3 linked regions of the Saccharomyces cerevisiae S288C genome follow. Changing the gene in region 2 together with the main gene of any one other region gives a genetic interaction. Each region holds a gene or a part of one and is shown on either strand. Other genes may lie near its edges. The genes, in order: PRP22, SIL1 and MSC1.

Region 1 (3,600 bases), on a different chromosome or scaffold from region 2:
ACTTTTTTGATGGCTACAATCATAATTTGACATACCTCATATGAATATGATGTGGTAGTAAATTAAATAGGCTGAATCCTGATAGTTTGAGCCTGGGTTCTGACTATCCGAGAAGCGCACAGCAACATAACACCACCTTCTTTTAGTCTTTTAGCGAAAAAGTAGGAAGGCTCTGCACTCCATCGTTTTTACCATTCCTACACGTTATAAGGACTCAGACAGGCGGCGTAGTTAAAATAAATTAACACCGAGTCTTGAACATGTAATTTCTTTAGGTTCATTGAAGAGATAATTATAACTTTCCTGCCCACAAGTCCTCTGATTTACATTCGAACGAGGCTCATTAACGTAGTGAAAACTGTTCATAACGCAATCTCTTATGAAAACCATGCGGTGAATTCCTTTTGACAGGTTCTCTATGATACTATCGACGCCTCTCAAATATCAATGCGTATTACTGCATCAGCAAAGCTCCGTCATCTACATCTAGGCCGGGGCATCTTTCGCAGCGAAATCTTTACGGTGGCAAAAAATAAAGAAAAGTGAATATTGAACACCAATTACAAGAAAAGGGAGCACCTGTCAATCGAATAAAAAAGAACAAACTTCGGGCACGTCTTTTAAATAGGTTCATATACAATACTAAGAAAGATATATTAAGAAATGGATATTATTCTGGGCATCCGTGTACAGGATTCTGTCATTCTAGCGTCTTCTAAGGCAGTCACAAGAGGTATTTCTGTTTTAAAAGATTCTGATGATAAAACGAGACAATTATCGCCACATACATTGATGAGTTTTGCCGGTGAAGCTGGTGACACCGTTCAATTCGCCGAGTACATTCAAGCCAATATCCAATTATACTCCATTAGAGAAGATTATGAGCTCTCTCCACAAGCAGTATCTAGTTTTGTTAGGCAAGAATTAGCCAAGTCAATTAGGTCGAGAAGACCATACCAAGTCAACGTATTGATTGGAGGCTATGACAAAAAGAAGAACAAACCGGAACTATATCAAATTGACTACTTGGGTACTAAAGTCGAATTACCCTATGGTGCTCATGGTTACTCGGGGTTTTACACATTCTCTTTACTAGATCATCATTATAGACCTGATATGACTACTGAGGAGGGTTTAGATTTATTAAAACTATGTGTACAAGAGCTTGAAAAAAGAATGCCAATGGACTTCAAGGGCGTCATTGTTAAAATCGTGGATAAAGATGGCATAAGACAAGTAGATGACTTCCAGGCACAGTGAAAGATATTCAGTGTAATCACACGGAAAAGGTGATTGCTAATGATATACTAAAGTAATTATCTTCCTCGTTCATAAAATTAAATAAAGTTATTATAGTTTTTTCATCCGTTATAATAGCAAATGTATCAGAAATAAGACAATTTCTCATTTTTTGTTGGCAGAGTGAGATATCATCTGATCTATTGCAAATGAATCCCAATCAATGCTGATACCGCTTCGTTATAACCAATTCGAAAAGTTGTAATTATGTTACCCGCATGAGAATATTTTGAAGAAGCAATGTAGGGCTACGATAGTACTTTTGAGATGGTTTATTACTTGTTCAAATGCTGTCATCTCATGTTGTTAATGCGCTATATTTCGCACTACGAAGCTAATTTTCAACATAGGTAACACAAAGATATTAGAGATGTCTGATATATCGAAACTCATAGGAGCTATTGTGGGATCTGATGACCCCGTTATCATTGAATTTGTGCTGAATATCATAAATAAATCCGGCAATTTACAAGAGTTTATACGAAATATTCAAAAATTGGATGCCGGTATATCCTACGAAGACAGTATTAAGATGTATAATGCATTTTTAGGAAAGCAGGAAGAAGAAAAGGTACGAAATAAAGTTAAAAGTTCACCGTTAAGTCAAAAAATTAATCAGGTACTGAAAGATGACGTTAATTTGGACGACCCTGTTGTGACTGAATTCGTCCTGAGCATTTTGAATAAATCTAAATCAATAACTGAGTTCCAGGAACAACTGAACTTGATGCAAAGCGGACTCGATAATGAAACAATTTTCAAGATATATCAAATTGCATCACCACCAGTAATGAAAGAAGAAGTCTCAGTTCTTCCAAGCACCAAGATACCAGCAAAGATAGAAGCAAAGATTGAAGAAGAGGTACAAAAAATAGAAAGTTTAGACCCCAGCCCTGTCCTTCACAAAGTTTATGAAGGTAAAGTGAGAAACATAACTACTTTTGGGTGTTTCGTCCAAATTTTTGGGACGCGAATGAAGAATTGTGATGGCTTAGTTCATATTTCAGAAATGTCAGACCAAAGAACATTAGATCCACATGATGTGGTGAGACAAGGCCAACATATCTTTGTCGAAGTGATAAAAATACAAAATAATGGAAAAATATCGCTCTCCATGAAAAATATTGATCAACATAGTGGAGAAATCCGGAAAAGAAATACTGAAAGTGTCGAAGATAGAGGTAGGTCCAACGATGCTCATACAAGCAGAAATATGAAAAACAAAATTAAAAGGCGTGCTTTGACTTCACCAGAAAGATGGGAAATTCGCCAACTAATTGCCAGCGGTGCTGCTTCCATCGATGACTATCCTGAATTGAAGGATGAAATACCCATAAATACTTCCTATTTGACCGCGAAAAGAGATGACGGCAGTATCGTTAACGGTAATACAGAGAAAGTGGACTCAAAATTGGAAGAACAACAACGAGACGAGACGGATGAAATTGATGTCGAGCTGAATACAGATGATGGGCCCAAATTTTTAAAGGATCAGCAAGTCAAGGGGGCCAAGAAATATGAAATGCCTAAAATTACAAAAGTCCCGAGAGGATTTATGAATCGTTCAGCAATCAACGGCTCTAATGCAATACGAGATCATAGAGAAGAAAAGTTAAGGAAAAAAAGAGAGATTGAACAACAGATTAGGAAACAACAGTCGTTTGATGATCCTACGAAAAACAAAAAAGATTCCAGGAACGAAATTCAAATGTTGAAAAACCAGCTGATTGTTACTGAATGGGAAAAAAATAGAATGAATGAATCTATCTCGTATGGCAAAAGAACTTCCTTACCAATCAGTGCACAGCGTCAAACTTTGCCTGTATACGCGATGAGGTCTGAATTGATACAGGCTGTGCGTGACAATCAATTTCTGGTCATTGTTGGTGAGACAGGTTCGGGTAAAACCACTCAAATTACTCAGTATTTAGATGAAGAAGGGTTTAGTAACTATGGGATGATCGGATGTACCCAACCTCGTAGGGTTGCCGCTGTATCCGTTGCTAAAAGAGTGGCTGAAGAAGTTGGCTGCAAAGTTGGCCATGACGTTGGCTATACCATTAGATTTGAAGATGTTACTGGCCCAGATACCAGAATAAAATATATGACTGATGGTATGTTACAGAGAGAGGCGTTGTTAGATCCCGAGATGTCAAAATATTCAGTTATCATGTTAGATGAAGCTCACGAAAGAACTGTGGCAACTGATGTTTTATTTGCGTTGTTAAAGAAAGCGGCTATTAAAAGGCCAGAATTAAAAGTAATAGTTACATCGGCTACTTTGAACTCTGCTAAATTTTC
Region 2 (3,825 bases):
GAAGAGGAGGTGTCGTCGTCTTCTTCGTCGTCATCGTCCTTAGCATCACAACTTTGTTGGGTGGCGATTCCGGTTCCCATAGGAGAACCTGCTCCAGATGTGAAGTAAGCAGAAGCAGCACTTGGCATAGCAGGCAAAGTGTTATTAGCTTCCCAGACACCCTTTTCATAATCAGGACATGTAGAATAGTTGTTGGAAGTACTGTAACCACCATTGCCTTCTGGGTTGGATACTTTGCTGTATTCATTTTTCAAGTTTTCAAAATCTGTCAATTTAGTGACCTTGTCACCATCAATTTGAACGAGCCCGTAATTGTTAGTTTCATTGGAATATTCGTAGACTAGCCCACCGGAGAATACAGAAGACATTTGAGTGGAATAGATAGCTTCAATTTCTGTGAATGGACGAGAGCTCTTGACTTGGTTACAACCAAATTCACTTAAGAAGACAGGAACGGAGTAATCTTGATATAGCTTCATCTTGGTGGAATAACCCGATACCACAAATGAAGATTCACCACACCAAGAATAGTCATTAACACCAAACATGTCGATTCTAGCGTCAGCTTCATCACCACAGTTAAAGTATTCAGCAGCCAATTGTCTGTTAGCGACGATATCAGCAGCCGAGTAACCTACCGGAATTTGTCTGTATTTTCTAGCCTTGATGTATTTCTTCATGTCCCTGACCACTGCCTTGACATAAGTAGCAGTGTTGGTAGTATTAACACTATTGATGACCTCGTTACCAGCGAAAAAACCTAGAACATTGTCGTAATCAGCAAAGGTATCAATGGTGGCAAAGACATTTTGTAAGTAGTCAGCGTTATAGGAGCAGGCTGGATCGTAACGAGAAATAGCACTCGTGGGGGTATTGACATCCAGGATCAAGTATATACCGTTCTCCTGCAATAGTTTCATACAATGGGAATGATCTTGCGAGTTATCCACAGTATAAACTCTGACAGTATTTATCCCTAGATCTTTCAGAACGGGGACGTCTCTGTCACAGACAGATGCGTCTGCTAAGGGATCAGTCAAGTTAGAAGAACCACCAGGCTGGTAATCAACACCACGGATATAAAACCTTTCACCTGATTCCGAATTAAAAAATGCATTGCCTTTAATTTCAATGGATGGTGTGGAACTGTTACTGCTGCTAGCAGCCTGAGCCAAACCAGCACTTAAAACGAAGGCACTTGTAAGAGAACGTAGTAACATAGCTATTTAGAGCTGTGTGTGTAGCGAGTGATATATAATATGTTTGTTACAGCCCACTGTTTACTTTTATATACGAAATGCAACACTGTCAACAAATCAGTTCAGGGACCTTCCTATTTATAGTATAAGCAAAATAAAAGTGAAAAATTTCCTGCGGAGTTTTTTTTCTCGAGAAATTGTGAACAAAAGAAAGCAAAGACACAGAAGATGATAAGAGAGAGAAACAACGAAGAAAGAACAACAATGTTGGGGTTCACCCGAGAGATATTGACATACTGACCTTAGAAAAGGCATTACTGAGGCTACTGACTAAAGCGCGTTACATAAATGCATAGTATATTTCTTGTTGTATACGCAGCGGCCAACTAGTGGCAGCAAGAATGTAATGAACGATTCATCTGCAGGTTTGGAGGCCGCAACTAGATCAAAACGTAAATAGCGGGTGAAGTGTTCTGGACGTTAGAAGTAACGTCCGCAGATCGAAGCTAAACACGAGATTAGATTTCGGGTAACGGAATTGTGATAATTAAGAAAGACCAGACTATGTGAAAAGGCCACGTAAATGATAGAGCACACATTAGCAACTATAATAGACTAGTTTTCGCATCGCTGGAAGTTCTCGATATTGAATATCACTTCCAAGAACGCAAACTTAGAATGGTCCGGATTCTTCCCATAATTTTGAGCGCCCTATCTTCGAAATTAGTGGCGAGTACAATATTGCATTCATCCATACACTCAGTGCCATCTGGAGGCGAAATCATATCTGCAGAAGATCTTAAAGAACTTGAAATTTCAGGGAATTCGATCTGCGTTGATAATCGTTGCTATCCTAAGATATTTGAACCAAGACACGATTGGCAGCCCATACTGCCAGGTCAAGAACTCCCCGGTGGTTTGGACATTAGAATAAACATGGACACAGGTTTAAAAGAGGCAAAACTAAATGATGAGAAGAATGTCGGTGATAATGGTAGCCATGAGTTAATTGTATCTTCAGAAGACATGAAAGCATCGCCTGGTGACTATGAATTTTCCAGTGATTTCAAAGAAATGAGAAACATCATAGATTCTAACCCGACTTTATCTTCACAGGACATTGCCAGATTGGAGGATAGTTTTGATAGAATAATGGAATTTGCGCATGATTACAAGCACGGCTACAAAATTATTACCCATGAATTCGCCCTCTTGGCCAACCTTAGTCTCAATGAAAATTTGCCGTTAACATTGAGAGAGCTCAGTACTAGAGTCATTACCAGCTGCTTGAGAAACAATCCTCCTGTAGTCGAGTTCATTAATGAAAGTTTTCCAAATTTTAAAAGCAAAATCATGGCCGCTCTGTCAAATTTGAATGATTCTAACCACAGATCCTCTAATATCCTAATAAAAAGATACTTGTCCATTTTAAACGAATTACCTGTCACATCCGAAGATCTTCCTATATACTCTACGGTTGTTTTACAAAATGTATATGAAAGAAACAACAAGGACAAACAGTTACAAATAAAAGTCCTGGAGTTGATCAGCAAAATTTTGAAGGCCGACATGTACGAAAATGACGATACAAATCTAATTTTGTTCAAAAGAAATGCTGAGAATTGGTCGTCAAATCTGCAAGAGTGGGCAAACGAGTTCCAAGAGATGGTCCAGAACAAAAGTATAGATGAACTACATACAAGAACGTTTTTTGACACCCTTTACAACTTGAAGAAAATTTTCAAAAGTGACATCACGATCAACAAAGGGTTTTTGAATTGGTTAGCGCAACAATGTAAAGCCAGGCAATCTAACTTGGACAATGGGCTCCAAGAGAGAGATACTGAACAAGACTCATTTGATAAGAAACTTATCGACAGCAGACACTTGATCTTTGGCAACCCCATGGCTCATAGAATAAAAAATTTCAGAGATGAACTCTGATTTCACTGTCATTGCATATATAGTTTAATATTAATAATATTTTTTTCAATTAATATTTCGTGAATCTTATTAGAGATATATTATATATCCGTGTCTAATTTTTAGTTACTTCATCCAAAAACGTCCCGTCGTTGGCCAGTCTATTTCTAAATTTGTCCCACCATGTATCAAACCTCTTGATGGGCACGTTTCCCTGAGCATCTAGGAACCCTGATAAATAGTTATATGCATGCTGAACGATTTTGGCGGCCAATTCTTGTGTCAATGAAGGGTAAACTTGTGCCAACTGCCCTGCCGTGGTAATATTTCGAATTATTCCTAAGTTAGGTCTTGACAAGATCAATGAGTTGTTCTTTTGTGCTTCGGCATTCATGCTGGCCTTCCACTCTTCTAATTTCATCATTCCTTGTTCTCGAGGCTCAATGGAAATACCAATAATCAATTCTGATATGTTATTACTGCTACTTCCATTGGTGTCAGTAAACGGATCAGCGGCCCCCGAACCATCATCTACATCCATGTCTATCTCACCTAATCCATCACTTGTATCTCCAGCGTCTTTCTTCGAGCTCGGTATTTGCACTTTGAATATGGCACTGGGTTTCTCACTGCTTAGGTACCCAAATAGTTTAAATTCTTCCTGAGGGCTAAGTTTGAAATAGACTGTAGCTATATAATCCTG
Region 3 (3,837 bases), on a different chromosome or scaffold from region 2:
ATATACGGATGAAAAGAAAAATTGGGGAGAAAAGTACATTACGTTGACACCCCAATCATTAGTTGAACCCTAATATGCTTTTCGACCAGTTTTTAACGTTATGTAGGTACCTCTTGTAAGCAGGCTCCTTAACAGTGCCGAACAACCATTGCGTATTCTGCTTGGCCAAGTTGATTAAGTCGTCCTTCGTAGAAGTCTGTTTAACCGGAACACCGAATGATTTTAGGTACTGCAATAGGTCTTCTTGAGACCAGCTCTGAAAGGTATTTGACCAGGTCTTAGCGATTTGGTCCTTAGCATCATTTGTGTTTTTGGAAACCTTGTCAAAATCCTGCATAATTGTGGAGTAAGTCTGAGAATCTTGGAAGTCGTCCTTTTTGTCAGCAAACCAACCCTTTATGTCATCCAAAGACCAGTTACTGTTGTCAAAGTATTTTTGGTAGTCTTTTGGCAGGATCTTGAGTTTTTCGTTTCTGGATTTTTTGACTAATTCTCTCAATTGATGTTCAGTAGACAGCATTGAGTACTTAATACCACGAGCATCTAAAAACATTTTCAATTTGTCCTTTGGCCAAGAGTCTAGGCCAACCAAAAAAGTATCATTGATCACATTGTCAGTCTTACCTCTGAACTTGGAGTACAAATTTGTGAGGAAATTTTTAGAAGAGTCCCAAACGGAACCAACGTATTCTGGGGTCTTGGTCAAAAATGGAGAAGACTCTCTTTTCATATAGTCCAGGTACCAGTAGATATCATCTTTCAAATTGGCAGAATTTTCTTTGGCCATTCTAACCAAATAGTCGTGTTTCTTGGCCATGTTCTTGTCAATATTGACCTTGTGGCTCTCCAACCAATTGGTTAACTGATCACTAGACCACTTGTCAAATACAGTGTCTTTTATTTGTCCCGATGTGTCTAATATTTGTTGGTGAGCCAAATCCAAGCTTTCTAGCAAACCCAGACGCTGCTGTTCTGCCTTTTCTGAAGTTCGGTAGATGTTTTCCTTGACTTTCTGAACTAGCTCGTCCTTGCTTTGAACTGCCTTGTCGTAGTCGATACCATTGTCATTCAACCAGTTTTGCAAATCTTTGGTTGACCAGCTATCAAAGTAAGAGCTAGAAGGATAGTATCCCGACGACTTCAAAGATTTGGAAATCTTGTTGAAGTTCTCCTTAGCAGTCTTCACCAGCGAGTCCTTGGAAGCCTTAGCGTCGTCAACATCCACGCCGTTTTTCTTCAAGAAGTTACGTAGACTGTCTGTGGACCAGGTGTCAAAGAGCCAGTCAGAAACTGGGTGATCCGAAGAACCAGTATAACCAAACCATCCGGGGTTACTGTTGCTCACGCTACTGCTGTCACTAGACCACACCTGCCACCATGGTTTGGGCTGCGCGTGTTTGTCCCATACCTGCGATGCCTCCGTTTTCAAGTCCTCAATGGAGTCTGTAGCGTACTTTTCCAAGCTCTTCTTATTATCACGTAAATAATCGGCCAGGTCTTCCTGCGTCCACTTGTCGAACACTGAATCTGAATTGGCCAACACTAAGCCAATAAGCACAAATGATGCGGAAACCGCATTAACCAACTTGAATTGCTTCATCTTCTTCTCTTAATTAACAGTTCTTTTGTAGTTGTCTCCTCTTCTATTGCAGATCCTCTTCTAAACTCCGGTAATCTAATCATGCTAGGAATACGACTCCATGAGTGGCTTTAAATACCCTGTCGATCCCCTTTCACCGCCTCCTTGTTTCCTCCCTCTCCCTTATTTTCCTTCAGTTCCAAAGATCCCTTATTCTTCCCCTCTAAGGTGAGGCCGGCGTAATGCTGTTGCTTACCGACGTAATGGTGGAAAAGGTGAAAAAAGTGAAAATAGTGATATTCTTAGAGAAAAACGAAAACAACAAGTCGTGTCAAGAGGTAGTGTTTTGGGAAAGACGTCATAGAGAAAGGCAGAAAGCTTGTAAAGAAGTGGAAATAAAGATTGAAGATGAACTCGTTAGCTTCAAACACACCGCTAAATGGTACTCCAGTAAGCGAGGCACCCGCCACAAGCTCCGAGCCTGTGAACATGTTCGAGACAATGGTGGCTAACCCTATTAAAGTGTCTCGATTACAGTCTAATGGAGTTCTGACGGGACCTGCAGCCAATACTAAGTCCATCCACTATTCGCTGGCCAATTTTAATGTGTTCCAGTCGCTACCCAAGGAAACGGCCAGAGGTGTAGACGATTTGACGAGGATGGAGATGGCGTTACTGAGTGGGATACCGGAGGAGATTAAGTGGTCTTTAAAAAAATATCTTACGTATAGTAACAAGGCGCCATATATGATCAGCTTACGGACATTGCCGGACCTGTTGCCACTTTTCAAGACTTTCATATTGCCTTTGGAGCGCATCGTGGAAGGTCTTAACAAATCGTCTATATGTGATTCAAAGGCGATGGATTCTCTACAAATGGGTCTAAATGCCTTGCTGATCCTAAGGAATCTGGCTCAAGATACTGATTCGGTGCAGATACTAGTCAAGGATCGAGAAATCAAATCTTTCATTCTTTTCATTTTGAAGAAGTTTCAGTGCGTCGCTACAGGCGATAACAAGTGGCAATTGTACGAAGGAAATGCAACTTTTTTTAACGAGTTGACCCATTATACTCTGGACTTGATGGAGGCCATTTCGTCCTATATTGCTCCTGCAATGAAGGATGATCATTATTTCCAAACGCTGGTGTCCATCTTGAACTACACTAAGGACAGATACATGGTTATTTCTATATTGAGGTCTCTTTCAAGATTACTGGTTAGGTCCAAAGCTAACGAGGAAAGTGCAGCGGACAATTTGGACCATAAGACTCTTTCGTTGATCGTTTCCTTTTTACTGTTAGAATGCGATAGTGAGCTGATTATTGCTTCGTTGGATTTCCTCTATCAATACATTTTGCCCGGTTCTCAAAGAATCACTGAGTTATTCAAGAGTAAGGAGTGCTCTTTGATACTGGAAGCCACGCTGCCTAATTTATTATCATATAATATCGCCACACCAGATTACCATCTTTTGCAAAAGCACAAAATTAGGTTGATTAAAAGGTTGAAGCCTCCCGCTCCAAAGGAGCCTCCCAATTTATCTGAGGATCTGTTTCAACAACTTTTCAAACTTAACGAGCCCTTGAGGTCAACCGCTTGGTTGAGATGTTGCTTTGAGCCTGTACAAGAAGCAGAATTTACACAAATATCGCTTTGGAGATCCTACGAATCCAAATTTGGTCAGCCTGTTCGCGAATCCGGACGCAAATTGTTACCTGCCGTGGAATTCATCAAGAATGTCTCGAATGCTTTCAATAACGCCGCTGCTATCGTAATCACTGACCCGGTAACCGGCAAGAAAAGGTTTGTTATCAAGGGCATTCAACCAAGATTTAAAGCTTTGGGTATTGCAGACGGGGAAAGAGAATCCCAGGTACCCATTTCGGCACTAAAATCCAAATTTTTGAATGACTCTAAGGAAATTACACCTGCAAGACAAAACAGCATACCAGAGGTCAAATTCCCTCAAGAACTCTCAGATGTTTCTAAAGTGGCCTGTACGTTTTTGTGCCTTTTATCCAACGACACGGATGATGGTGCTGGTTCCGCATTTTGTCAACGCATCAGGCCACTGGTTCTACATAAATTGGCTGATATTCCACCTTTAACATTAGCATTGTCTGAATACATGGAAAACACGTCGGGGTTATGAATGAGAAAAAAAATCGGTTGGGCTTAACTTTAAAGAAAAAAGTTGAGATTAGATTTATTGTGTTATAAATATAGATATACAATTCTTTATAAAAAAAATATATA

What was found.
Region 1: mutations in SIL1 (region 2) and PRP22 together harm fitness more than expected from each alone (negative genetic interaction), as found in Saccharomyces cerevisiae (2 studies listed by BioGRID).
Region 3: mutations in SIL1 (region 2) and MSC1 together harm fitness more than expected from each alone (negative genetic interaction), as found in Saccharomyces cerevisiae (2 studies listed by BioGRID).

What each region holds. Positions count from the first base shown.
Region 1 is NC_001137.3:177,172-180,771, forward strand, and holds the start of PRP22 (DEAH-box ATP-dependent RNA helicase PRP22), read left to right. Parts: upstream 1-1,669; coding exon 1,670-3,600. Other genes in the region: PRE1 (proteasome core particle subunit beta 4), read left to right, coding at 664-1,260.
Region 2 is NC_001147.6:265,582-269,406, reverse strand, and holds SIL1 (Sil1p), read left to right. Parts: upstream 1-1,877; coding exon 1,878-3,143; downstream 3,144-3,825. Other genes in the region: GAS5 (1,3-beta-glucanosyltransferase), read right to left, coding at 1-1,220; OPI10 (Opi10p), read right to left, coding at 3,238-3,825. UniProt on the Saccharomyces cerevisiae protein: Required for protein translocation and folding in the endoplasmic reticulum (ER). Functions as a nucleotide exchange factor for the ER lumenal chaperone KAR2.
Region 3 is NC_001145.3:15,077-18,913, forward strand, and holds MSC1 (double-strand break repair enhancer MSC1), read right to left. Parts: upstream 1,601-3,837; coding exon 59-1,600; downstream 1-58. Other genes in the region: RSC9 (Rsc9p), read left to right, coding at 1,988-3,733.